Xenopus tropicalis: one gene and its partners. The protein of the gene in region 5 purifies or fractionates together with the protein of the main gene of each other region. This does not show direct contact. Links are inferred from orthologs where the notes say so. Each region holds a gene or a part of one and is shown on either strand. Other genes may lie near its edges. The genes, in order: sart1, ilf2, dnajc8, cwc15, sf3b1, prpf3 and snrnp200.

Evidence for each region.
Region 1: the proteins of sf3b1 (region 5) and sart1 purify together in Homo sapiens (co-immunoprecipitation; 4 studies listed by BioGRID and IntAct, with this or other methods). This does not show direct contact. The link is inferred for Xenopus tropicalis from reciprocal best matches to the Homo sapiens genes SF3B1 and SART1.
Region 2: the proteins of sf3b1 (region 5) and ilf2 fractionate together in Homo sapiens (co-fractionation; 3 studies listed by BioGRID and IntAct, with this or other methods). This does not show direct contact. The link is inferred for Xenopus tropicalis from reciprocal best matches to the Homo sapiens genes SF3B1 and ILF2.
Region 3: the proteins of sf3b1 (region 5) and dnajc8 purify together in Homo sapiens (co-immunoprecipitation; 4 studies listed by BioGRID and IntAct, with this or other methods). This does not show direct contact. The link is inferred for Xenopus tropicalis from reciprocal best matches to the Homo sapiens genes SF3B1 and DNAJC8.
Region 4: the proteins of sf3b1 (region 5) and cwc15 purify together in Homo sapiens (co-immunoprecipitation; 3 studies listed by BioGRID and IntAct, with this or other methods). This does not show direct contact. The link is inferred for Xenopus tropicalis from reciprocal best matches to the Homo sapiens genes SF3B1 and CWC15.
Region 6: the proteins of sf3b1 (region 5) and prpf3 purify together in Homo sapiens (co-immunoprecipitation; 3 studies listed by BioGRID and IntAct, with this or other methods). This does not show direct contact. The link is inferred for Xenopus tropicalis from reciprocal best matches to the Homo sapiens genes SF3B1 and PRPF3.
Region 7: the proteins of sf3b1 (region 5) and snrnp200 purify together in Homo sapiens (co-immunoprecipitation; 4 studies listed by BioGRID and IntAct, with this or other methods). This does not show direct contact. The link is inferred for Xenopus tropicalis from reciprocal best matches to the Homo sapiens genes SF3B1 and SNRNP200.

Annotation. Positions count from the first base shown.
Region 1 is NC_030680.2:38,873,155-38,875,889, forward strand, and holds part of sart1 (U4/U6.U5 tri-snRNP-associated protein 1), read left to right. Parts: intron 1-311; coding exon 312-433; intron 434-567; coding exon 568-689; intron 690-785; coding exon 786-956; intron 957-1,047; coding exon 1,048-1,158; intron 1,159-1,233; coding exon 1,234-1,321; intron 1,322-1,563; coding exon 1,564-1,654; intron 1,655-2,074; coding exon 2,075-2,210; intron 2,211-2,294; coding exon 2,295-2,384; intron 2,385-2,735. UniProt on the Homo sapiens protein: Plays a role in mRNA splicing as a component of the U4/U6-U5 tri-snRNP, one of the building blocks of the spliceosome. May also bind to DNA.
Region 2 is NC_030684.2:144,160,640-144,164,600, forward strand, and holds the start of ilf2 (interleukin enhancer-binding factor 2 homolog), read left to right. Parts: upstream 1-1,161; 5' UTR 1,162-1,216; coding exon 1,217-1,221; intron 1,222-2,937; coding exon 2,938-2,994; intron 2,995-3,562; coding exon 3,563-3,605; intron 3,606-3,716; coding exon 3,717-3,821; intron 3,822-3,908; coding exon 3,909-3,961. UniProt on the Homo sapiens protein: Chromatin-interacting protein that forms a stable heterodimer with interleukin enhancer-binding factor 3/ILF3 and plays a role in several biological processes including transcription, innate immunity or cell growth.
Region 3 is NC_030678.2:79,254,527-79,258,654, reverse strand, and holds the start of dnajc8 (dnaJ homolog subfamily C member 8), read right to left. Parts: upstream 2,801-4,128; 5' UTR 2,767-2,800; coding exon 2,698-2,766; intron 1,701-2,697; coding exon 1,599-1,700; intron 1-1,598. UniProt on the Homo sapiens protein: Suppresses polyglutamine (polyQ) aggregation of ATXN3 in neuronal cells.
Region 4 is NC_030678.2:164,535,102-164,539,054, forward strand, and holds the start of cwc15 (protein CWC15 homolog), read right to left. Parts: upstream 2,801-3,953; 5' UTR 2,766-2,800; intron 1,299-2,765; 5' UTR 1,288-1,298; coding exon 1,157-1,287; intron 1-1,156. UniProt on the Homo sapiens protein: Involved in pre-mRNA splicing as component of the spliceosome. Component of the PRP19-CDC5L complex that forms an integral part of the spliceosome and is required for activating pre-mRNA splicing.
Region 5 is NC_030685.2:45,884,422-45,887,921, reverse strand, and holds part of sf3b1 (splicing factor 3B subunit 1), read left to right. Parts: intron 1-1,580; coding exon 1,581-1,778; intron 1,779-3,100; coding exon 3,101-3,202; intron 3,203-3,500. UniProt on the Homo sapiens protein: Component of the 17S U2 SnRNP complex of the spliceosome, a large ribonucleoprotein complex that removes introns from transcribed pre-mRNAs.
Region 6 is NC_030684.2:127,685,432-127,688,400, forward strand, and holds the end of prpf3 (U4/U6 small nuclear ribonucleoprotein Prp3), read right to left. Parts: intron 1,823-2,969; coding exon 1,676-1,822; 3' UTR 501-1,675; downstream 1-500. UniProt on the Homo sapiens protein: Plays a role in pre-mRNA splicing as component of the U4/U6-U5 tri-snRNP complex that is involved in spliceosome assembly, and as component of the precatalytic spliceosome (spliceosome B complex).
Region 7 is NC_030679.2:125,079,387-125,082,886, forward strand, and holds part of snrnp200 (U5 small nuclear ribonucleoprotein 200 kDa helicase), read right to left. Parts: intron 3,424-3,500; coding exon 3,232-3,423; intron 3,090-3,231; coding exon 2,911-3,089; intron 2,830-2,910; coding exon 2,678-2,829; intron 2,013-2,677; coding exon 1,904-2,012; intron 1,831-1,903; coding exon 1,722-1,830; intron 1,490-1,721; coding exon 1,300-1,489; intron 1,218-1,299; coding exon 1,053-1,217; intron 968-1,052; coding exon 846-967; intron 1-845. UniProt on the Homo sapiens protein: Catalyzes the ATP-dependent unwinding of U4/U6 RNA duplices, an essential step in the assembly of a catalytically active spliceosome. Plays a role in pre-mRNA splicing as a core component of precatalytic, catalytic and postcatalytic spliceosomal complexes.

The DNA of each region.
Region 1 (2,735 bases), on a different chromosome or scaffold from region 5:
TTGCTAGAAATGCTGTATTTTATATACTGAATTCGCTATAACAAAAATGTATTACACTTTCTACATGACATATGCTTTCTAACATCTTCAGCTCTTCTAAAAGACACAGAAAGAGGGTGAAAAAAGTAGCACTCTAAGAATGGAAGTCTTAGGGTGTACCCACTGTCCCACAAAAAATTAGCTGTATGGTTTTTAACAAAACAAAAAGCTTAGTTTATCCTGTAGTGGATTATTTTTGTCCCTGCAGGTACAACAGATAGTTTGGTCCAGTTATTACTGACCTCTGTATCCTTCTCTAATTAACTTGTCAGATCAAGGGGGCGTGGGCGTAGGCGTGTAGAGGATTCAGACGAGGAGAACGGGATAGAAGAAATAGATGAAATACTGCAGTCTGATGATATTCGAGTGGAAAGCATGGTTATGAGTGACCAGGGTAAGAAAATATTTACATTCTCCGTTTATTTCTTTTCTAAGTGTGCCTTTTCATTCACCCGTTGTTCTTCGTTCTTTACCTGCCTATCATGCTTTAATTATAAAGGGCTTGCTAATGACTTTTTCCTTTTAAAGAAGACAATGATGACTCTGCAGCAGTTATAGAGGAAGATGAACTTGAAAGTGAATTACAAAAACAGTTGGAGAAAAGCAGAAGATTAAAACAAATTCAGCAACAAAAAGACAGCAGTGATAAGGTGTAGTGGGGAATACAATTCCCATTTCAGTATTTCAGTCTTACTTTGATCAAAAGTTAAATCTCTTGTTTTTTTAATCTAATTTTTGCTTTTCAGGTTGTTGCATTGGTCAAAAGGGTGGAGTCTCAGAAAGGTCAGGACGAAGAAGATGACGATGATAAGAAAGGTTCAATTGTATTCAATGCAACTTCTGAATTCTGCAGGACCCTTGGGGAAATCCCAACATATGGACTTGCAGGAAACAGGGAGGATCAGGAGGATCTCATGGTATGTGCATCCTGTATGTTGGTCAAGTTTTCTACTTTATTTATACTATTATATGTGTAGCATTTTTTTTTTTTTTTTTTTCTGCTACTAGGACTTTGAAAAGGATGAAGCAGATTCTGAAAATGAGAATGGAGAGTCTGATGGGGAAGAGAACATTGGTTGGAGCATGGTGAACCTTGATGAAGAGAAGAATCAGCACGATGTAAGTTCCTTGGCTATAAGTTTTTGTTTATACACTTGTAAGTATCGGACTCCTTGACAGTGTCTGTCTTTCCAGTATTCTGCCTCTTCCACTACCATTTTGGATGAAGAACCTATTGTGAACCGAGGTTTGGGTGCTGCTCTACTTTTGTGTAAGAATAAAGGTAAGGTTTTTTTTGTTTTTTTTTTTTTTACTTTTATTGCTGATGTTCAAGGGAAATTTGGGTTGGGATTGTTAAAAAAAAAAAAAAAAAAAAAATTTGAAAAATTTGCATCAGTGTGATTGTGGATTCCAAAATGGGAGCATTTGGATTTTTTTTTTTTTTTTTTTAATATTTTATCAATTTTGTTTGTATTGATGGTTTCACATTGAGCATTAACTTCAGCATCTGTTTCCTCCTAACAGGATTGCTGGAGACAACTGTACAAAAAGTGGCTCGTGTAAAGACTCCTAATAAGTCCCTCCCATCTGCTGTATACTGTATAGAGGATAAAATGTAAGCAATATGGCTTTCAAAGGGCTAACAGATCAATAAAGGAATACTTATTTTCAAAACACATCAGTTAATAGAGCTTCTCCAGCAGAATCCTGAATTGAAATCTGTTTTTCAAAAACGCAAACAGATTTCAGATATCAGAATAGCACTCAATAGTAAGAAATACATTTGTTGATTCTAGAATAAAATTTTAAGTGGTAGAGTGAATTATGGTATAAAAATATACCATAAAAATCATAGCAGTAGCCCTTTAAATAAAGTGCAACAAAGTCACCATGGCTGGGTCAGCATAATTTTGGTGAGCTGTGTAAATCAAATTCAGCGGTTAATTTGTTACCTGGGTTTCATATACATGTGATCTTGTCACTGAACAACTTTCTTTTGACCTTTTATGGTTCCTTTCTTAATCTCACTCCAAAGGGCAATAGATGATAAATACAGCAGAAGAGAAGAGTACCGGGGCTTCACACAAGATTTCAAAGAGAAGGAAGGCTATAGACCCGATGTTAAGATCGAGTATGTTGATGAGACTGGACGCAAACTCTGTCCCAAGGAGGTGAGCTGTCATGGTGCTCTCTACATTTTCTGTTCTGCTTGTCTTCAATTTATGCTTATTTTCTAAATTCCCCTTTCCACACAGGCCTTCCGGCAGCTGTCTCATCGTTTCCACGGAAAGGGATCTGGCAAGATGAAAACCGAAAGGCGCATGAAGAAGTTGGATGAAGAAGCTGTAAGTTATACTTGGTCTTCAAAGATAGACACACTATTTGTATCCTCTTGTAAGGGGCATTAGTATCTTTGCAAAGAGCATAACATATGGGAAGTATTAAAATGCACGTGAAAGGGTATGCCTTATGTTTTAAATTAAAAATGTTTTAATTTCCTAAAGTATAAATGTATACGAGTATGTCTATACAAGTCTGAGCCAGTGAGAACAAGGTGCCATGTTTTGATACTTTAGTTGGTCAGTACCAAAGCGATGAATTATACTCAGGGTTGTGGTTTATATAATAATTATGCTTTTCAGTTAAGCCAAATCTCAGGCAGCATTTGCGGTAGTTCACCTTTTTTTGAGAATCTA
Region 2 (3,961 bases), on a different chromosome or scaffold from region 5:
GATGGGGCCCAGCAGTGTAGCATCTGCCCCCGGGGCAGTTCTGCAGGTTGCAGTGAATATGAATAAAACCTGGGGGTAGGTACTAACAGGGCGGAAGCTGCCGTTGCTCCCCTGCTGGGACATTGTGTCTCTCAGTAGCACCAAAAGGTGTGTGCGGATCACAATAGCACAGGGCGGAGTCCTGTTGGGGCAGATTTCAATGTAAATACCCCTGAAGGAACCTCATGGGGGGGATGCAGCAGTAACATATCTATGTTAAAGGGCTAGTTCCCCTTTAAATGAACTTTTTTTTTGTGGTTTTTCAGTTATTTAGGTTTTTGTCCTGGAGCTCTTACTATGCACCTATGCGGTTGCCAGGGTCTTATTTACCTTAGCAACCAGGCAGTTGTTTGAATGAGAGACTGGAATATAAATAGGAGAGGGACTGAATGGAAAGATAAGTGATAAAAAATAACAATAATATTGTAGCCTTACAGAGCAGTAGTTGTTTTTTGGTTGCCGGGGTCAGTGACCCCCATTAGAAAGCTGGAAAAAGGCAGAAGAGACTTGTAAGATGTTTGTTGCTATTACAGTGTTTGTCTGCTGCCCTGCTGGTTCTGACTTCTGAAGCAATGTAGCAGAAGCCAACAGATTCACAGAGCTGGAGAAGGAATTGACTGCTGCCACACACTGTATTACAGGAGTCAGAATGGGAAAGGCTGTGGGGTAACTACAGGAACAGCCCCCCCCCCCCATTACTTGTATCTCCCCAATAAACCCTCACAGACTTGCACATTTTTCATAAACAAACTATTTTGTGAGAGTTTTTCCACCATTGTTAGCGCCATTTCTTTACAGGGCGATACAAATGCAATACTGGAAGTAAAAATACCAGCAGCCATTTTGTCCAGGCGTTGTGTTGGTTGATTATAAATAAAGTTTAGCGGGAAAAAGTGGAATCTGCCGCCATTATGGAAGTAGCGTCCTGTGTGGGCGGGCTTACTCCGCCTTCGGCGATTGGTGAGTGTCCCCGTCCGTCACAGCGATGCGTTTGCCGAGCGGGTTTGGATAGGTTGTCAGACGCCGAGAGGGAGGGAGTTGACTGTTCGTGATGCTGATTGGCTGTGGAACCGGTCGTTATAGCCAATAGGAAAGCAGATTGTTGGTCTAGTGTGGCTGTATCGAGGGCCGAGAGGTTGTCCATTGTGCGGGAGTGTGAGGAACGAAGATCTGAAACATGAGGTGCGGGGGGTTCGGGGGCCGAGTGGGGAGCTGCCATGGGGATTGGGGGGACCGGGAGCGGTGCCGGGTTTCCTTCTCGCCTTCCGGGGCCTATTGTGGGGCACATTGTGTGCTGGGCTCCGGGGGGCCTGGTCCTACTGAGAATAGGATAGGGGGGCTCCGGGGGGTACTGTACCTAATATATAGGGGGGCCCTGGGGGTACTGTACCTAATATATAGGGGGGCCCTGGGGGTACTGTACCTAATATATAGGGGGGCCCTGGGGGTACTGTACCTAATATATAGGGGGGCCCTGGGGGACTGTACCTAATATATAGGGGGGCCCTGGGGGTACTGTACCTAATATATAGGGGGGGGGCCCTGGGGGGAACTGTACCTAATATATAGGGAGGGATAGGGGGGCCCTGGGGGGAATGTACCTAATATATAGGGAAGGGATAGGGGGCCCTGGGGGGAATGTACCTAATATATAGGGAAGGGGATAGGGGGGCCCTGGGGGGACTGTACCTAATATATAGGGAAGGGATAGGGGGGCCCTGGGGGACTGTACCTAATATATAGGGAAGGGATAGGGGGGCCCTGGGGGGACTGTACCTAATATATAGGGAAGGGATAGGGGGGCCCTGGGGGGACTGTACCTAATATATAGGGAAGGGATAGGGGGGCCCTGGGGGGACTGTACCTAATATATAGGGAAGGGATAGGGGGGCCCTGGGGGACTGTACCTAATATATAGGGAAGGGATAGGGGGGCCCCTGGGGGGGACTGTACCTAATATATAGGGAAGGGATAGGGGGGCCCTGGGGGGACTGTACCTAATATATAGGGAAGGGATAGGGGGGCCCTGGGGGGACTGTACCTAATATATAGGGAAGGGATAGGGGGGCCCTGGGGGGACTGTACCTAATATATAGGGAAGGGATAGGGGGGCCCCTGGGGGGACTGTACCTAATATATAGGGAAGGGATAGGGGGGCCCTGGGGGGACTGTACCTAATATATAGGGAAGGGATAGGGGGGCCCTGGGGGGACTGTACCTAATATATAGGAAGGGAAGGGGGCCCTGGGGGAACTGTACCTAATATATAGGGAAGGGATAGGGGGGCCCTGGGGGACTGTACCTAATATATAGGGAAGGGATAGGGGGGCCCTGGGGGGACTGTACCTAATATATAGGGAAGGGATAGGGGGGCCCTGGGGGGACTGTACCTAATATATAGGGAGGGATAGGGGGGCCCCTGGGGGGACCTGTACCTAATATATAGGGAAGGGATAGGGGGGCCCTGGGGGGACTGTACCTAATATATAGGGAAGGGATAGGGGGGCCCTGGGGGGACTGTACCTAATATATAGGGAAGGGATAGGGGGGCCCTGGGGGGACTGTACCTAATATATAGGGAAGGGATAGGGGGGCCCTGGGGGGACTGTACCTAATATATAGGGAAGGGATAGGGGGGCCCTGGGGGTACTGTACCTAATATATAGGGAAGGGATAGGGGGGCCCTGGGTACATGATCGGATAACAAATATTGGGCGCTGGATGTTTGAATAATGATATAGTGATAATAAATGAGTAGAACACAGAGGGTCATACAGTAATAAATACAAAGTAGTTATATTAGAGATTAAGAGCTAAGTGTCCTGTGACGCTTACAATCTAAGGTGCCCCCCCCCCCCCCAGAAATGTACGTATTCTAAATTGTTCTACTTTTCTTAGGGGTGAACGAGGACGTGGACGTGGCCGCTTTGGCTCCAGAGTGGGACCTAACACAGGGTGAGCTGCCTATTGTAACTACATACTCCCGTCAGTCGCTCCTGGGTGGAAATGTGATGTAGAGGGTAATGTTCCGAGACAGCTTGCAGTTGGTCTTCATTTTGTATTCATAGTTTTTTAATTATTTACATTTTTGTTCAGCAGCTATCTGGTTGCTAGGTGGGTGCTAAATCACCTTAGCACCCATGTAGTGGCTTGATTAAGAGACTGATCTATGAATAGGGGAGGGGCTGAATAGAAAGATAAGGAATAAAAAGTAACAATAACCATAAAACTGGAGCCTCACAGAGAAGTTTTCTGGCTGCCGGGGTCAGTGACCCCCATTTTGAAAGCTGAAGAGAATAAGAGGAAGGCAAATGATGAAAAAATAATAAATAAATAATGAAGACCAATTGAAAAGTTGCATTGAATTGGCCATTGTATAACATACTAACAGTTGCGTGTAAAGGTGCAGCCCCCCTGACTCTGTGCCATAGGGTAGCCATATTCCTTATTCAGTAGCCACATTGTGCAGTGCAGGTACATGTTCTCTAATGTAAATATGACCCTTTTATTCTTTCTCTTACAGTTTCAGACCCTTCGTCCCTCACATTCCCTTTGATTTCCACGTGGTAAGTGGCTTTTCCTTCCCCCCACATTCTGTACATGTATATATATATCTATATAGATAGATATATCTTCTCTATCCTTGTGCTTACATACTGACTTACCCTTCTTTTCAGTGTGAAATGGCCTTCCCGCGTGTGAAACCCGCCCCCGACGATAGCTCATTCAGCGAGTCACTGCTCAAACGAAACCAAGATCTGGCCCCCAGCACAGCCGAGCAGGTAGCTATATGCTTCCCTTGCCCCCCACCCCCGGCACTGTTGCCTCTGCCCATATTCATTATACCCTTTGTGCTCTCCCCCCACCAGGCCTCAATCCTTTCTTTGGTCACCAAAATCAACAACGTTATCGACAATTTGAT
Region 3 (4,128 bases), on a different chromosome or scaffold from region 5:
ACTGGTAAAGGGGATGGAAAATTTAAGCTATGAGGTTAGACTGTCGAGGTTGGGGTTGTTTTCTCTGGAAAGAGGCGCTTGCAAGGGGACAGGATTACTCTGTACAAGTACATTAGAGGGGATTATAGGCAGATAGAGGATGTTCTTTTTTCCCATAAAAGCGATCAACGCATCAGAGGCCACCCCTTTAGATTACAGGAATGGAGCTTCCATTTGAAGCAGCGTAGGTGGTTTTTCACAGTGAGGGCAGTGAGGCTGTGGAATGCCCTTCCTAGAGATGTGGTAATGGCAGATTCTGTTAATGCCTTTAAGAGGGGCCTGGATAAGTTTTTGAACAAGCAGAATATCCAAGGCTATTGTGATACTAATATCTACAGTTAGTATTAGTGGTTGTATATATATAGTTTATGTATGTGAGTGTATAGATTGGTAAGTATAGGTTGTGTGTGCTGGGTTTACTTGGATGGGTTGAACTTGATGGACTATGGTCTTTTTTCAACCCTATGTAACTATATGATTCTCTGAGACTGGAGAAACAAGTATATATTATTCAGAAAACAATTTAATTTCTCAGTCTCAGCATTTGATATGTGGTCTTTGTACTATTTGCAATAATATATTGGGTTTAAATGATTTGCAAATCATCCCATTCTCTATTTTTTACATTTTAGTATCCCAACTTTTTTGAAAAAGGGATTGTATGAGCTTGTGCAAGCTTATGTGCTAACATGACCTGTAGAAATACAACACCAGAAACAAATATTAATTATCAGTGCATTCAGGACAAATGACTTCAAATAACTTTAGCAACATCATTACCATTTTAAAAAAAAATTATATATAATATGAACATGTTAAATACAATTCATAGCGCATATTCGCCCGCTGCCTGGCTGTGTGGGGCATCGTTGGGAAGATATGGGCAAGTAACGAACTGGCTGCCTGTGTGGGGCTGCCCAGGCTTATTGCTTCCCTGCTGGGTACAGTTATGTACGGGGCTTGTCCCCCCTGCTATACTTAGTGGGGGAGGGAGCCGGCAGGGGCGACTGGCCTGTGAGCCGCTCATACAGGGGCCCCTTGCAGGAAGGACATGTGTGGGAGAGCGCCCTGTTGCCTGTGCAGACAGAGCAGGCAGTGTGTAGCGCACAGGCAGGGGGGGCGCAATACACAAACTGAAGTGGGGGGGGGGGTAGGCTTTATGCATAAATGCTAGTGACTCCCAGCACCCTTGGACTGCTGTTAGTGTGGGGATGTGGGAGTAGTAGTTCATTCTCTTTTGTATTGGGCTGTCCCGCTATGTTGTAGAGTTATAACAGCCTGTATATATCATATGCGTGCGCGCGACATCGTAAGCGACGCATCATTGTACCATTAAGAGAAGCCACAGTATGCTCCCACTTGTGAGTTTTTCTGTGGACCTCTATTCATAGTGTACCTTCTCCCATGTAACTGGGGGAGTCGGCTTATACTCGAGTCAATACGTTTTTCCAGTTTTCTTAGGTAAAATTAGGTACCTCGGCTTATATTCGGATCGGCTTATACTCGAGTATATACGGTACCTATAATTTACTAGCTGCAGTCCTTAAATAAAGATTTACCTCAAAAGGGTTTAAGTTAAAGTAGGATGACCCAGGTCTAATCAGTCTTTCTATCTGCTGCTTTGGGGTTAATACAGAATCACGTTTTTCAATTTGCTTAACCTGTGAAAAAATGAGAAATAATTATGTTATTGGCTAAAAAAAATGTAAGTGCTTTGTTTGAAATGAATAATGCACAAAAGCCACACAAACGAGAAATAAATACAAAGGATGTGATTTGAATGCATCAAACTATAAAAGGGCTATCACTTTTTTTATGCATGGCCTCTTTAATAAACACATTTTTAAATCACATATTGCAGCTTGAACCTGCTTGTGACTGAACCTAGGTTGAGGACTATTCAAACATTTATTCTCCGACAGGCATGGGCCATAAAGTAAGGGCAATTCTGCACTATCATTGGTTTTAGCAGATAATGTGCCAGCTTGAACAAATGTATGAATATTTCGATTTATAAACGCACTGCTTATGAATGCAGCACAATACATTTAATAAAACAAAGTTGGGTCAATAAAATAATACAAATACAGTCAGATAAAGAGTGCTACTAAAGTCCACTAGTATAATTATAAGAGATACAATATTTATGTTGTGCAACATACTTGAAGCTCAGGTGGACTCTTTTGCCCCACATATGCACATTAGCCACTGAAGCCAAAGACCATGTGGGGGCCACTTTTACTTTATGGCTGGTTTAACAGACAGCATTTTACAACCCCAGCAAGTATGAGGCTGCTAAAGCAGTTTTGCTAGGCAGCATATTTCTGCATTACCAATTGAATCAGTGGGGATGCTGGGAATCGTAGTTAAATAAACAAATTGCGCATGCTTTTAACACTTTCTCATAATAATAGCTTCCCTTGTAGCAAGCCTAGTCACTTTGCACCATACATGTTGATAGTTTTGCAACCGATGGAAGCCACAAACTACAGCGTTCCCGTTCTTCAAATGTATATTACCGCCGCATTTATGACCTAAGCTCCATTTCTCCGTTCAAGCAAGTACATTTCTTCTTGCCTAGATTTTATTTTTGTAATTCCGGCTATAATTTTACCAAAATTAGCTTGGTGTTAAGCTCTTCCACTACAAACACTTTACCTCGGTGTAAAACGTCGAAAACAGATCATCCACTGAACCGGACGGACCGCCAGACCCGGGAGCCGCCATCTTGCCGCCAAGCACAGACGAACGTAAGGCAACACGTAACCTGACGCTAGGTGGAACGGTAGATCCCAGACTGTTACGTACTGACTAGCGCTACGTGCGCGTAACACATGTTGTCGTCACGTGATTCATAATGGCTCACAGAGCAAGATAATTGATTTTGTGTGGTCTTTCAAATAGCAATAAATTGTACTTTGAGAGCATACAGCCTAATTGCATGAAGGGATCGACTATTTTAAACTCACAGTATCTGATTATTTTACCTTATTCCCTCAATTAGTCACTTTAGAGTTCCATCACAACTAACACTAACTGGCTCCTACTTTCTAGTCCAACTTCTGCCTACTATAATTCTTTGGCATCCAAGTCCCATACCTCCCAAAATTTGAAAAATGAAAAGAGGGACAATTTTGGTCACGCCCACTTTTGTGGCCACGCCCCAATTACCACACCCCATTAAAAAAAAAAATACTCCTTTTATATAGATGAAATGGCGGGATCAGACGCAAATGTGCTATACCCTCATACTGTACTACCTAAGGAAACCAATATAGCAACTCCTACATATAAATACAAATATAGAGAGAAGGCAGTCAGTTATAAGTGAGTTATAACTATGTATCAGCTTTGTCCCCCCCATACACTGTAGCCCCCCATACACAGGAGCCCCCCATACACAGGTGCCCCCTATCCACAGGTGCCCCCCCATACACAGTAGCCCCCCATACACAGGAGCCCCCTATACAAAGTAGCCCCCCCCATACATAGTAGCCCCTATACACAGTACCCCCCATGCACAGTATCCCCCCAATACACAGTATCCCCCTAATGCACAGAGCCTCCATACATGCTGCTGCTTCTTCTTCTGCAGCGGCTCCTCTATATATGCGGCTCCTTGTTCGGCGGTGCCAGGCCCTTTTATTAGGTTGCGTGCGTGCTTGCTTGTGACGTCAATACGCACGGGCGCAACCTTTTTGACCATATGCCTTCTTTGTAATAATACCTTTCAACATTTAAAAAATGCAAAGAAAGAGAAAAAGAAATGGGGCACCTAGTGCTGCAAATTTTTTTTTTGACCATGCCTGTTTTATTGCAACTACACCCCCTAAATACCACACTCATTTTTCAAGATTTGGCAGGTTATTTAAAGGGGATATATACCATAAATTTTTACAATGCACTAAACCATGTCAAATAACGTAAAATAGAAGGAAGTGCTTTTATTTTAATACCTTTGGGTTCAAATATGTCCATAACTGCTTGAAAACTGCTCTACCCAGACCTTATGCCAGCTTCCACTGTTCCAGCTTCCAGTTTTAGGAGGTAAAATGCTTTCAAAACATCTTTATTTCGGCATCATTTAAC
Region 4 (3,953 bases), on a different chromosome or scaffold from region 5:
CCATCTTTCCCCACTACAGTCTATATTAAACACTGCTGCCAAAATTCTCCTCCTCTCATCCAGGAGAGTTCAGGCCCTTCCCCTGCTAAAGTCCTTATCATGGCTTCCTATTAAACAAAGAATATCTTACAAACTCCTTCTCCTAACCTTCAAAGCCCTCCATTCCTCTGCTCCTCACTACATCTCTTCCCTTGTGTCGCCGTACATTTCTGGTCGACTCCTCTGTTCCTCGCAGAGTAACTGCTTGGTTACGCCCCCCCCCCACTACTACTGCAGTTTCCCAACTTGCTGCCCCTTATATTTGGAATGCCCTCCCAGATTTCCTCCGAAGAAAATCCTCCCCAGTGTTCTTAAAACTAAACTTAAAGACTAACTTTTGGAGCACTCACCCAGCACCTGATCTGGGAACTGGCACTTATATTGTAATGTCACCCACTGTGACCTACAGCACTTATATTTGCCTATTTGTGTCTGTAAGTTACCCTCCCATCTAGACTGTATGCTCTACGGGGCAGGGACCTCCATCCTCTTGTGTCTTTGACTCTTAACTTATTGCAACTGTATCTTGTATTTATCTGTATTTATTGTTATACTTTGTATTTATCTATTATTTTAATAACCTCCTGTTTGTATTAATGTATTCTACTGTACAGCGCTGCGTACATAAGTACCGCTTAATAAATATATACATACGAAAAGTCCACTGTATAAACAAACCCCTCCCTTCCCCCAGGGGCAGCCTTTAGTCATTAGGCTCTGTGATAAGGAACAGGTATTAGGATGAAGACACATGGTACTTAGTAGCAGCTATTTGTCACGGCTACTAAACGCCAGAAAATCCCCTGCCACAGACAATACTGAGAATTGCCTCTGCTAAAACACACAATTTAGAGACAATTATCAGTAAATGATCAGCACTGTCTATTTTAGTAGCCGTGACAAGTAGCTGCTACTAGTAGCTCCGTGTGTCTTCACCCATATACAGAGGTGTCTCATAATGGTTTGTAAATAATAACAAAAAGAATGTTCAACACAAGCACAAGTGAAATAATCTTGAAAAGGGGGATATACTTCCCCTTTAATGACCAACATAATTCACTGTGCCATGTTAAGGACTACAGAACAAATATCTTACATGCCTTAGCCACTCACATACCTGTATTTGATCTTAGTGTGAGAGGGGAGGTCTCTGCTGGAATACTGCTTTGAGAGCTGACTGAGATCGGCTTCCCCTTTACCTCTGCCGCCTCTTGCTGGTTCAAACGTTGGCCTGGCCGCGGTTGTCATCTTTTACACAACTGTTTCACACACAAATACAAGAACTGTTTTAAAATTCCTACTTTCATAAGCTGACTTTTTCTACACAGCTTCAGGAGTCAGAAGCAGCAGCGCAGAGCACAGGAAAGGCAGAATGATACTACAGGTATGGGACCTGTTATCCAGAATGCTCGTGACCAGATAAGGGATCTCCTACCTTATGTCTGGTAAAAATCATTCAAATATTGAATAAACCCAATAGGCTTATTCTGCCCCAGTAAGGGGTAATTATATCTTAGTTGGGATCAAGTACAGGTACTGTTTTATTATTACAGAGAAAAGGGAATCATTTAACCATGAAATAAACCCAACAGGACTGTTCTGCCCCCAATAAGGGGTAATTATATCTTAGTTGGGATCAAGTACAGGTACTGTTTTATTATTACAGAGAAAAGGGAATCATTTAACCATTAAATAAACCCAATAGGGCTGTTCTGCCCCCAATAAGGGGTAATTATATCTTAGTTGGGATCAAGTACAGGTACTGTTTTATTATTACAGAGAAAAGGGAACCATTTAACCATTAAATAAACCCAATAGGGCTGTTCTGCCCCCAATAAGGGGTAATTATATCTTAGTTGGGATCAAGTACAGGTACTGTTTTATTATTACATAGAAAAGGGAATCATTTAACCATTAAATAAACCCAATAGGGCTGTTCTGCCCCCAATAAGGGGTAATTATATCTTAGTTGGGATCAAGTACAGGTACTGTTTTATTATTACAGAGAAAAGGGAATCATTTAACCATTAAATAAACCCAATAGGGCTGTTCTGCCCCCAATAAGGGGTAATTATATCTTAGTTGGGATCAAGTACAGGTACTGTTTTATTATTACAGAGAAAAGGGAATCATTTAACCATTAAATAAACCCAATAGGGCTGTTCTGCCCCAATAAGGGGTAATTATATCTTAGTTGGGATCAAGTACAGGTACTGTTTTATTATTACAGAGAAAAGGGAATCATTTAACCATTAAATAAACCCAATAGGGCTGTTCTGCTCCAATAAGGGGTAATTATATCTTAGTTGGGATCAAGTACAGGTACTGTTTTATTATTACAGAGAAAAGGGAATCATTTTTAAAAATTTGAATTATTTGATTAAAATGGAGTCTATGGGAGATGGCCTTTCTGTAACTTGGAACGTTCTGGATAACAGGTTTCCAGATAAGGGATCCCATGCCTGTACTTTCAATTGTCCCTCAAGTTGATATTGCTGGCCATAGGCTTAACCAGCCGAGTTCCCTTACATTAGCAGGGGACTCACAGACTGGGCAGGAGGGTACAGTATTGCTAAGTAGATAAAGCCGAGCTGTAAGCTTCCCCAGCCAACAGGGATAGTGGGGGGCGATATATTGCTCCTAGAGGGCCTCAATCCCCTATGACTAAAATAATCGCTGCCGTTCAGCCTGAATTCCCCTCTTCCCAAAGGTGCGATTTCGCTCACCCCGTAACAGCGCCTCAGCCCCAGCACCAAATCCCACGGCGACTGGCGTCACAATTACCCGTCGCGCTAGTTCTTTCCACCGGGAAACTTCCGGCGCTCGGAGTACGCGTCACGTAAGCAAGAGGGCGTTCCAGCTGATTGGAAGCCGTCGGCGGCCATGTTTGTTGTGGCTATGTAATGAATCAGGGGGTGTATGTGCGGTAAAGGGAGAATATTATATAACACTGTGCAGGGCTTCTGACTTCTCTGTGTTGGTTTACATAAGAACATTTCCGAGCAGTCATTTTTCATAACTGAGATTTCTCTTTACTAAATTAGTTGCCCTTTTTTGTTATTCATTAATTCTTTTTAATAATTTTTATGTAGGGACCCCAAGATTTGGGCCCCTGTGCCTGGGTTCCCCTTTAGACAGGCATACCAGTGGGTGGCCTTGTGGGATATGGACCTAAGGGTGGTCCTAATTGTGTGTGTGCTATAGTTTCTAGTTTATTGTCATATACAAATAACAATGAAGCATCATTACCGTTATGAAATTTTTTGACCTGTGTTCCCCCCAACTTTACATAAACATCTACAATTTTTTTTTTAACTTTTTAATTCATCTTTAATTATTATATTATTATAATTATTCTTTCCAGATTAAAAGAGAGTTTCCTCTGCAGTTCAGCAGTGACCACTAGGTGGTGGTGTTCTGCAATATAAAAGGGAATGGACTCACAAACCATGAGGTCTTCTTCCTGGGACTTCACCTCTCTAAGAGGTTAGCTACAGGAGCCAGTTAGACATTTTATTGTCACTCTAGGAGTGAAAGGATAGATAGTGTATGTCTATGAAGATTTTCATTCATCCAGGTCATGGTATATCTAGTATAAATAAATGTAAGGGCTCTGGCACAAGGGGAGATTAGTCACCCGCAACAAATCTCCCTTGTCACGGGCAACTAATCTCCCTGAACTACCATCCCACCGGCGAGCATGTAAGGATGGTACACGCTGCGCAGTTGCCTCGCGAGGCATTTTCGGCGACTTGCCGAAATCGCGCCGCGTGTGCCATCCCACCGGCGACTTACATGTTCGCCGGTGGGATGGCAACTGATGGCAACTCGGGGAGATTAGTCACCCACGAACAGGGAGATTTGTCGCGGGCGACTAATCGCCCCATGTGCCAGAGCCCTAAAGCAACTGGACT
Region 5 (3,500 bases):
CTACTACCCCGGGGTAAAAGGTAAGTGATCTAAGTCACTTGGGGGTGCCTAACATTTTGGCACCCCCAAGTGACTTAGCCTTTCCTTCTCCTTTAAGGCTGCCAGTTCACAAAGGAGCTACCAATAGCCATTCACAGCCCTTATTTAGCACCCTCATGAACAATGTTCAGACTTGTGTTGCTCCCTAACTCTTTTTACATTTGGTGTACATAAATCCTTGCTTCCCTCTCCTCTATCTTACCTCGAAGCCAGCGTGCAGAGGGGATTTACATGTAAAATTATTACGCCACTTTCCTCAAGCATTTCATGACAGAGTACTTGCCACTAGTGATAAACTAATCTGGCCAACTTTGCAGAAAAATTCATAACCTGCTAAACCATTTGCGAAACGCGTCTACCACGCAATATTTTCTAACGTGTCTGACTTTTTTTTGAAGCAACCGCAACTTTTTCCCTTGCTCAGCAATTTTTTTTCGCAGCAAATTTTTGTGTCTGTTTAGAAAAAAAAACACCAATGGCAAAGTGTGGAATTTTGCTGCGTATCTGTGCCTGGCCATATATTTTGGTCATCAATACTTGCCACCCCAGCATTTTATCAAGTCTAGCACCATTAAGGAGAATTTTTTTTTTCTTATAAATAAAAGGCCTTTATTTCATGATGGCAAAAATCTGGTCAGTACATGCAACGTTTCAGGCCCTTCTGCCCATTTTTAAAGCTCCAGCATTTTATGACATAGCATCCTAATCTTTGTGGCAAAAGGAGTGCTGCTTTTTGCCTGGAGTAAAGCTTCTTTACACAGTGCAGGCAGTAGTTAAGAATGTGCAGCTTCTTTCATCTGCATAAAAATTTCTACTTACAAAGCCTTCAGCACAGACATTGTGTTTCTGGCAGATGAAAGAAGCTGCACACCGTATAGCTAAACTTCAGGCACATTCCAAAATACTGGCTGCGCTATGAAAAGAACACAAAACTGCCTCTGAAGGCAAAGGGATTTTGGTGTTGGGACCAGTTTTACAATCAGTTTTGATAATAAAGCAATCAAACTAAAAATAAAAAAAAATTAAAATAATGTTCTTTATAAATCTGTACAGTATTCATCTGAATCCCAGCGATTTTATGGTGTTTAATCTTTAGCACAATAAAATCCAAACTCTTAAGGGCAATGGCCCATGGGGAGATTAGTTGCCTGTGGTTAATACCTGCAGGAGGGAAACTTTGTGCAACTTCGAAAAACGAAGCAACATGTATACCCTTTTTCCTGTGGGCCATAAGTCTAAACCTATAGTTCGCTCCAGGGTTACAGATAAGCGAAAACATAGTATCTAAATTCATATAGAAGAATGTCTAGAAGGTAATGTTCTAATCATAACTTCATTTTTCTTTTCAGATGCCTTCTGGCTAGTCCCCCCCTTTAATGCATAATCTGTTTTCTTACAAAGGTCATTGTTTTTGTGAATGTACTGCTCTTTTATTTATTCTTTTTGGCTCAAATTCTAATGTATTCCAGGATATGCTTTGAAGAAACTGCATGGACCGGTAATTAACAGTTTTCTTTAATTCCTTCTGAAAAAATTAAAAGGTTCTCCCTCCTCCTGCTGGATATGTACCAATTCGTACACCTGCCCGTAAATTGACCGCAACTCCAACACCATTAGGAGGTTTGACTGGGTTTCATATGCCGACAGAGGATCGAACCATGAAAAGTGTTAGTGATCAACCTTCTGGAAATCTTCCGTTCCTGAAACCTGATGATATTCAGTACTTTGACAAATTGTTGGTGAGTTTGTGCTGCCTCTGTACTCTTCCCAGAAAGTTATGACCTCTAGACAGATACATCCCTACTGACCTTTATGGTTCTTTGAGATATCTGCTTTCTATGGCAACAACACTGTGTGTGCTGCTGTTCTCCTTGCTCACTTTCAGATCAATGGCACTTCCTCTTCTGTGCTACATACCCAAGTGGTATGACCATTTTGAGTAGCTTTTTTGCCCAAAATATTAAGTACTTAAGAAAACTGTAAGTGAGTTGTATAGATGACCCAAGAAAGTTTTATTCCTTTTGGCATTAGTATTAGCGCTACATTGACTACCATCCACCAATCATAAATAAAAAAGAGAAATGTGCAATACCTCTTTGAGCACATCTCTTCTTGTTAGGTGCAACACTGTGCCTCATATTTTCACTGGAGGACATAATCCCTCCACCTTTTCCTTGCATGTGATTGGGTAAGGGAGATGCTGCAGAGATCCTCTGTCCTCACTGTGTCGGGCGTGGATATTTATGTTGAGGGTAGGGATGCATCAAATTCAGGATTCGATTCAGGATTTTGGCTGAACTGAATCCTTAAAATCACATGACTTTTTTTTTTTTTTTTTTATGTAAACTTGGAAGATGAAAATTTTTCGCCACGTCTGAACCCTTCTGTACCCTAATTTACATATGCAAGTTAGGGTTCGGATTTGGTTCGATATTCTGTTGAATCACTCACAAAGGATTTAGGGTTCAGCCAAATAAGAAAAAAAAAATGGATTCAGTGCATCCCTAGTTAAGTGTTTCATGGGTTATTTCTTTGGGGGAATCATGCATTGACTCCAGCTTTCCCCCTGTTAATTGTTCTTAGCAGTCCCAATAAAAGTATGTTTTTACTATCCATATGAAAGTAGCATTAAACCAATGCTGCATTTCTGTTACCCCAAAACAGGGATGGTAGTGTCACACTGAGGTTTTGGTTTATGGATAAATTTCTTTTAAAAGAGTTGGCGAAATTTGTCTATAAAGTAAACAAAGTACATTCAGGATATGTCATTCTGTAAATCCATGTTTAAAAGAGTGTAAACATTTGGAAGGCCTGGTAATTTACCACAATTTAAGCTGAGAAAATATTTGTGGTGTAGATGTAGTATAATAAAATCCTAAACTTCCCAGTTAACGTTAACTGAAAAATGTTAATAAAATATTCTATGGAAACTGCTTCACTTTACTCTTTTCTGTATACATAAAAGATGAAAATAGATACTTTTACTGTTCTAACTAACTCATAAGACAGGGCATCGTATTTATTTCGTATTAATTTTTATATATTTTGCAATCTCTTTCAGGTTGATGTTGATGAATCTACACTTAGTCCAGAAGAGCAGAAAGAAAGAAAAATAATGAAGTTATTGTTAAAAATAAAAAATGGTACACCTCCGATGAGGAAAGTATGTGTCACAGTTTGCATTTTCGTTTTATACACTTGTTACAACAATTGTATTTTTGTAAATTCATAAAGGCTAATTTATCAATGGTTGGGTAATTAAATACTTCCTTTTTGCATTTTTTTTTTACTTATTGAAGAGAGAGCAAATGTGGGAAGTGTTTTAAATGTGTGTGTAAGTCAGTCACACTTCCATTGTATTTATATATTTTACCTAGCCTTTGTGTGCTCCCACAGCCCAGTGGCGTAACAATAGAGGAAGCAGACACCGTATGGTCTGTTTCCTCCAATTGTGCATTTAA
Region 6 (2,969 bases), on a different chromosome or scaffold from region 5:
AATGTGCTGTACTAAACCTTTATTGGGTGCAGTATAGGGGTCAGAGGTTTAATTCCAGCCAGGGCACAATCTGTAAGGCATTTCTATGTTCTCCCATGTGTCTGCATGGGTTTCCTCTGGCTACTTTGGTTCATTCCACATTTCAAAACCAGCCAGGTTCTTTGGCTCCTGATGAAACTGACCAAAATCTGTGTGACATATAGGCCTTAGATTGTGAGCTGCACAGACATAGGGACGGACATGAATATTATATGAATGGTGCTGTATAACCAAGTCACTGGTCGGGACATTTTGGGAGGTGAGTGGAGAATTATTCCTCTCCCAAAACATTTGTACTTCAGCAGTGAGCCCAATAAATGTATGGAATAGCAGCATCCCATTTACATTTTTGCTTCCGTCCCAGTTTCATGAGCACCTTAATGTATTAAGAGCCATACACACAGCTACCCCCCCCCCGCACATGATGAAATTACACCAACAAAAACTTTCACAACAATTAAAAAAAAAAAAAAGTTTATTATGTCATAGGTTTAGGGCTAAATCCCCCTTTTCCTACACTCCACTTTATAAATTTCACTCTGAAGTTCTGTTGTGCTAAACAAAACAAATTGCCAACAGAATGCCAATCCACAATAAAGAAACATGGAGTCAAATCTATAGGATAAGGTTTCTTGCCAATTGTCCTGTCCAGGGTGCTTGATGAATCCATGTAAACTGGAGCTTATCCGCAAAGCTGAAAATCAACCTTTCCGGTTGTAAGGCGAAACTATTTAAACCATTAATACAAACCAAGGAATTATGAAGTTGAATTGGAAAAAATGCATATGTTTTCAACACTAGAGGATGCTTCTCTGAATTAAAGGAGAACTAAGAACAAATATGGTTAAAATGCTGCCTTCTAAACACTTAACTTACTGTGCAAGCCCAGAGGTTTAGCAGCTATAACAGTAATGACACTTGCCTTCCAATTTGTCCACAGTAGCTCTCCATCTTCTGATATTTGTAAGCCATCTAATGAGTGTCAGTGGCACTGCCCATGCTCAGTGAATCAGCAGAAAAGAGGATAGGGGGTCACAGAACTTTACTGCTAAAGGGCTGTGGTGGACTTAGGCTACAAATACTACCTACACCCTACTGGCTTCTGTATCTTTTTCTCCTTTAACCATATGGATTTTGTAATGAGTTGTTTGAATGCTTAATCCCAATTCCCATTATGTATGGTCTATGTTTTTCATTCTTCCCATGTATTTACATTTTCTTTTTTCTGTTTGCATGTATGAACCAACCAAAATAAGGCTTATCTTTACCAAAATAAATCATTCTGAAAACAGCATTTCTTCAGAGTTGAAGCATAAAGCCTTTTTATGTGAAAAGAAAAAAAAACTGGGGGTAGGGGTAAAGGCTGCAGAGTGGCTGTCATTTATGTTACAATCAGTGAGCAAAGGCTGGACAAGAGCAGGTTGCTATGGTTAAACTGGTCGGCAGCAGTGTTTGAGGTTACCCAGAATTACAGTAAGATGGAAGAGAAGGATAACTTTGCTTGGGCAAGAAACAGTGTGTTTCAAGCTAGATTTAGTTGCGAGCGCTGCAAGTTGTTAAGGCGCTCATAGTCCTAGTCTGTTTTTTCCTTCTGTTTGGAGAAGTGCAGCAGTGTTGTAAGGCTCAGAACTTGCTTTCAGTCTGCAGTTTCCAAAACAGACTTACTAAGCGCCAGATCCCAGTAATGCTCTGCTCCATGTTTCTTAAAATGTTCCCTAGCCATATTTTCTGTGGGACACTGTTTGAATTTCATGTCTCCAAAGCTGCGTTCCTTAGTTGTACCCTAAAAAACAATCAGAAAATTTGTCATGATAATTGGAAGGGAAATGAGGCACTTCAGCTCTGTTTCTATATGCAGATATACAGGAAAGGAAACCATGACAGTCAGCCTCTGAGTTGCATGGACCATACCCCCCTGTCCCCATTAGGCACGCATTTAACCTTTCCTTCTCTTTATTCCATGTTGAAGTGATGGATTCTGGGACTTGAAGTTCTTATGCTTTCCATGCTGGGAAGTGCACAGATTCTCTGCAAAGCAGAGAACTTCATGTCCCAGAATCTTCTGAATTCCTACTCTGAAGTCTAGCTGTGTAAAAATAAATATACATTTATTTCTAAAGGTTAAGGTTAACCGAAGCCCAACTGAATGTCAAAAAGGGCATTTTTTTTTACCTTTAAAGAGAAACTATACCCCCAGAATGAATACTTAACCAACAGATAGTTATAGATAGATAGTATATCAGTAAATATTACCCTTTTACATCCTTTCCCTTGAGCCACAATTTAGTGATGGGCTGTGTGCTCCCTCAGAGATCAGCTGACAGGAAATAATGCAGCTCTAACTGTAACAGGAAGTAGTGTGGGAGCAAAAGGCAGAACTCTGTCCATTAATTGGCTGATGGGGCCTAGCATTTATGTGTGCCTTGGCTTGTTTGTGTGCACCGTGAATCCTATGATCCCTGGGGGCAGCCTTTAGTACTTAAAATGGCAATTTTCTATTTAGGAGTGCAGATGAAGCAGGGTTTTACATATGGGCTGCTTGTTTATGCAATATTTTTATAGAGACCTACATTGTTTGGGGGGTGTAGTTTTCCTGTGGAAATCTTTGTAAATGGTATATTACTAAGTTTCATTCTCAATACATATATTTAGTATTTCCGCCTATTCTGTTTACAAATGTGAACTTGCTTTAGGTAGAATGGGCTTGACTGTATACTCAGTGGCTAGGTCTGCTCCTACATGTATACTTCTGCAATAAACTCAATGGCACATTCAGACCTTAGCTATAGAGACATTCTGCTCCAAGGTTTTTAAGTTTATCTAAAATGGATTTGTATAATCCACTAGAGACTAGTTTCACTAATTTCTGGAATCTTTGTAACAATGCCTTAAATTCAGTGACCCTAGCAGAAGGTTTTCTGTTCCATGCA
Region 7 (3,500 bases), on a different chromosome or scaffold from region 5:
GCTACGAAAACATTTGTTTGCAGCCAACATGCTGCCATGATTCCTGAGGGTCTTGTTGTGCCCATATAAGAATTAGTATTTATAATATATAATATAATATTATAAGTCATTAAAGGGGTGGTTCAGCTTTAAAATTAACTTGTAGTATGCTGTAGACAATGATATCATGAGACAATCTGCAATTGGTCCTCATTTTTTAATATCTGTGGTTTCTCAGCTTTTTTTTTTTTATTTAGCTCCAGATTGGAATTTTAGCAGTTATGTGGTTGCTAGGGTCTTGTTTACCTTGGCAACCGGGCAGTGGTTTGAATTACATACTGGAAAATGAATAGGAGAGGGACTGAATAGAAAGATAAAGAATTAAACGTAACAATCATAAAATTGTAAGCCTCACAGAGCAATAGTTTTTTTTTTTGGTTGCTGGGGTCAGTGACCTCCATTTAAAAGCTGGAAAGATGTAGAAGGGCAAGGCAAATAATTAAAAATATATTTTAAAAAATGATGACCAACTGCAAAGTTGCTAGGAATATGACATTATAGAACATATTAAACGCTAACTTAAAGTGAACTGCCTCTTTAATAGAATATCCAAATACAATTTAACTGAATGCCAATCAGTGTGGGATTGCATTTGACCAGTCCAAGCTATCATACTACCCATCGCAATGCCCTCAGCATGTACCACTTGTGACCACACTATTATCACTTAAAGATGACTGCACCTTTCCATAACACTATGCAAGACCTTATAGTTGTCATGCCTGCTTCCCTCCTATTCCCTTGCATTGTTCAACAACACCAGTGCACTATTTGCCATGCAGTTTTCTGATGCAGCTTACACTGACCTGGCGAAGCAGATTGTCTTCGTGGTGACGAATGGGTATGCTTTCGTATTCTGCTGCATTAGAGATTATTTCTATAAGACCCCGCACCTTGGTCTTGGCATTCAGGGACATGCTGAAGAGTTCTGGGGAGAAGCAGAGAAAGCAAATTGAGAGGCTGTGAGAGAGACAGGAAGAGATCAAGCCAGAAGAGCACAGAGCGCTCCTCACCAATGGTGGTGTAGTTGATGTAGTAATAAGCAGCAATCATTCCCAGGTTCAGAGGAGCCACGTCCATTTCATCTTCAATGCTGATGCATTTTGACTGCTCAAGATCACTCAGCGTGTGTTCAACCAGCTCCGAAAGGTGATCCGAGAGGTGCCTGTGAGAAACACCTGCGGGAGAGCAAAGAAGTTATAAGAGACATAAGACAGACAGCACACAATTTATATCACTTCTGTGTATGCAGGCTCTCACCCTGAAGGTTGTAGTAGTTGGGGTTTTGGGTCATGCGTCTGTACAGGAAAGTCCAAGTCAGATAATCCACAGCATCCTGTTTGTTCTCAACTGTCTTGGTGACAATTTCTGCATTGAAGTGGTCGTGCAGGCAGTGATCCAAGTGAGATTCTACAGGCAAAGGCTCATACAGGAACTTTTTAAAGAAATCCTGAAAAGGAATAAAATACACTGAATGGTAAGTACAGTTTGCAAAGGTAAAAACACAAGTAATGAAATTGAGAAGATAAAATTACCATGTGAGGAGCACAGGAAAGAGAAAGGGAGGAGGCATAGAAGAAAGCTAAACTTGTGCTCGTAAATGAGTCCCTATTATGATAACCTATGATTTATATGGCTTTCCATAAAAAGGAAAGAAAGCTTAGTGCTTCCCCTAAACGCACCTTCTTTGATCCTTGGCACATAATAACACAGCGCCCTTCATCATCCTGCAAGGGCCGGTTGGCATATCCCACCATTTGCAGGACATCATAGATGGGATAATCAACATACCTAAAAAACAAATTGTGGTCAGGCTAAGCAACTTAGAAATAAGGGAAGGCTAAAATGATCAGACTATACTTACGCATGAATCTTGCCATTGTAGTACTGTGTGTCCATGATAATCACCAGATGTGCAGCAATGTTAAGTCCCCAGCAAAGACTGCGAGAGGCCACAATCACCTGTACCGCTCCTTAAAATATACAGAAAGAGATTGATTGATGTTTTGTTTAAGATACTTGGTTCTGGGTACCACTCCTTTATCCTGTGTCTCTCCCATAGTTCAGCAGCTATAATATGGCTCATTATACATGTGTGCCTCGCATTGTTGGATTTGGTGTTGCACTGGTGTATGGCAGTCAGATTGCACAAAAAGTCTGTTGCAGAAGTACTCAAATTGTCTGGCTTCCTTGTCTACTGCTGGTACTGCATTGACTTTTTACCACCATTTAATTAAAGAGGAACTCCACCCAAACAACTTTTTGAAAAGTAAACAATTTTAAGCAACTTTTCAAAATACATCAAGAACCTAAAATTTACACAATTGCACTGCCTTTTCATTTGCAATGCATGGAAAATCTCCCCTAATACCTTCTATGCAAAACCCTAATACCTTCTATGCAAAACCCTAATCCCATAACTCAGTGGGTGACCCAAAATATCAGCTTGGAAGATGCCCACACCAGAAAATAGAAGTGTACTTTTGTAAAAGTTATTGTTATATAGTTAATGTTATTCTGTGGTTTGCATTTCCACGCTCTGGCGAGACACCACAAAGAACCAAGCAATATAAGCAAAAAGAAACGAGCTACTAAAACCCAGTCACCCATAAAGACAACACACAGTGGCAAAGCTTACCAGTGTTGAATAACTGTTCCACAATCCGTCTCTCCAGTGATGAAAGGCCCTCGTGCAGGTAGCCCACCCCATTCAACAAGGTTTCCTTTAGAGTTTCATCACTCAACTTTTCCAAGTAAGGAGCCAAATCCTTCTCTGTGCAGTGCAGGAACCTTGTAGAGAACATTCATAAAGGTTATTCCCCAAACACGTTACAAATCCCAGCCCAAGGTACTTTCTACTGGATCTCTTACCTTTGTCGCTGCACATCCGCTGCACAGGTAGTAAGAATATCAATAGCAGTGAGACGTGTCTGCTTCCGGGACGGCACAAAAACAATGATGGGTTTCTTTGGCGAGTGCTTTACGATGGCATGGTAAACTGGCTTAGCCATAGAAAGCAGCCGCGTTTGTGTATGACTGATGTTAAAGCCCTGCAATACAAAAAATGAGAGATTTTGCTGTAAGTCCAATACATTTCCAACAGCCATAATGCTACAAAGCTGCCATTGTATCAGAAGCCTTTTGCAGGCCTTGGTGGCAGAATATACAAAATATGTATCAGACCCACAGTACCTGTATATGTAACTCCAGAGGAACAGGCCTCACGTTGGGATGAAAGTTGAATGTGGAGGTGGCACTGCAACCCAGCCAGTGAGCAACATCCTTGGCATTGGAGAGAGAGGAGCTTAGGGCCACGACACGGATAGGCCTCTCTATCTGGGAGGAGATGTACCGCATTCTGGAACAAATTACCTCAAGAACTGGCTGCAAAGAGAAGGAAATATTGCTTTAGAAATCTCCAATCCTACCCATTTTACATGACTGTTCAGCTTTTAAACTAA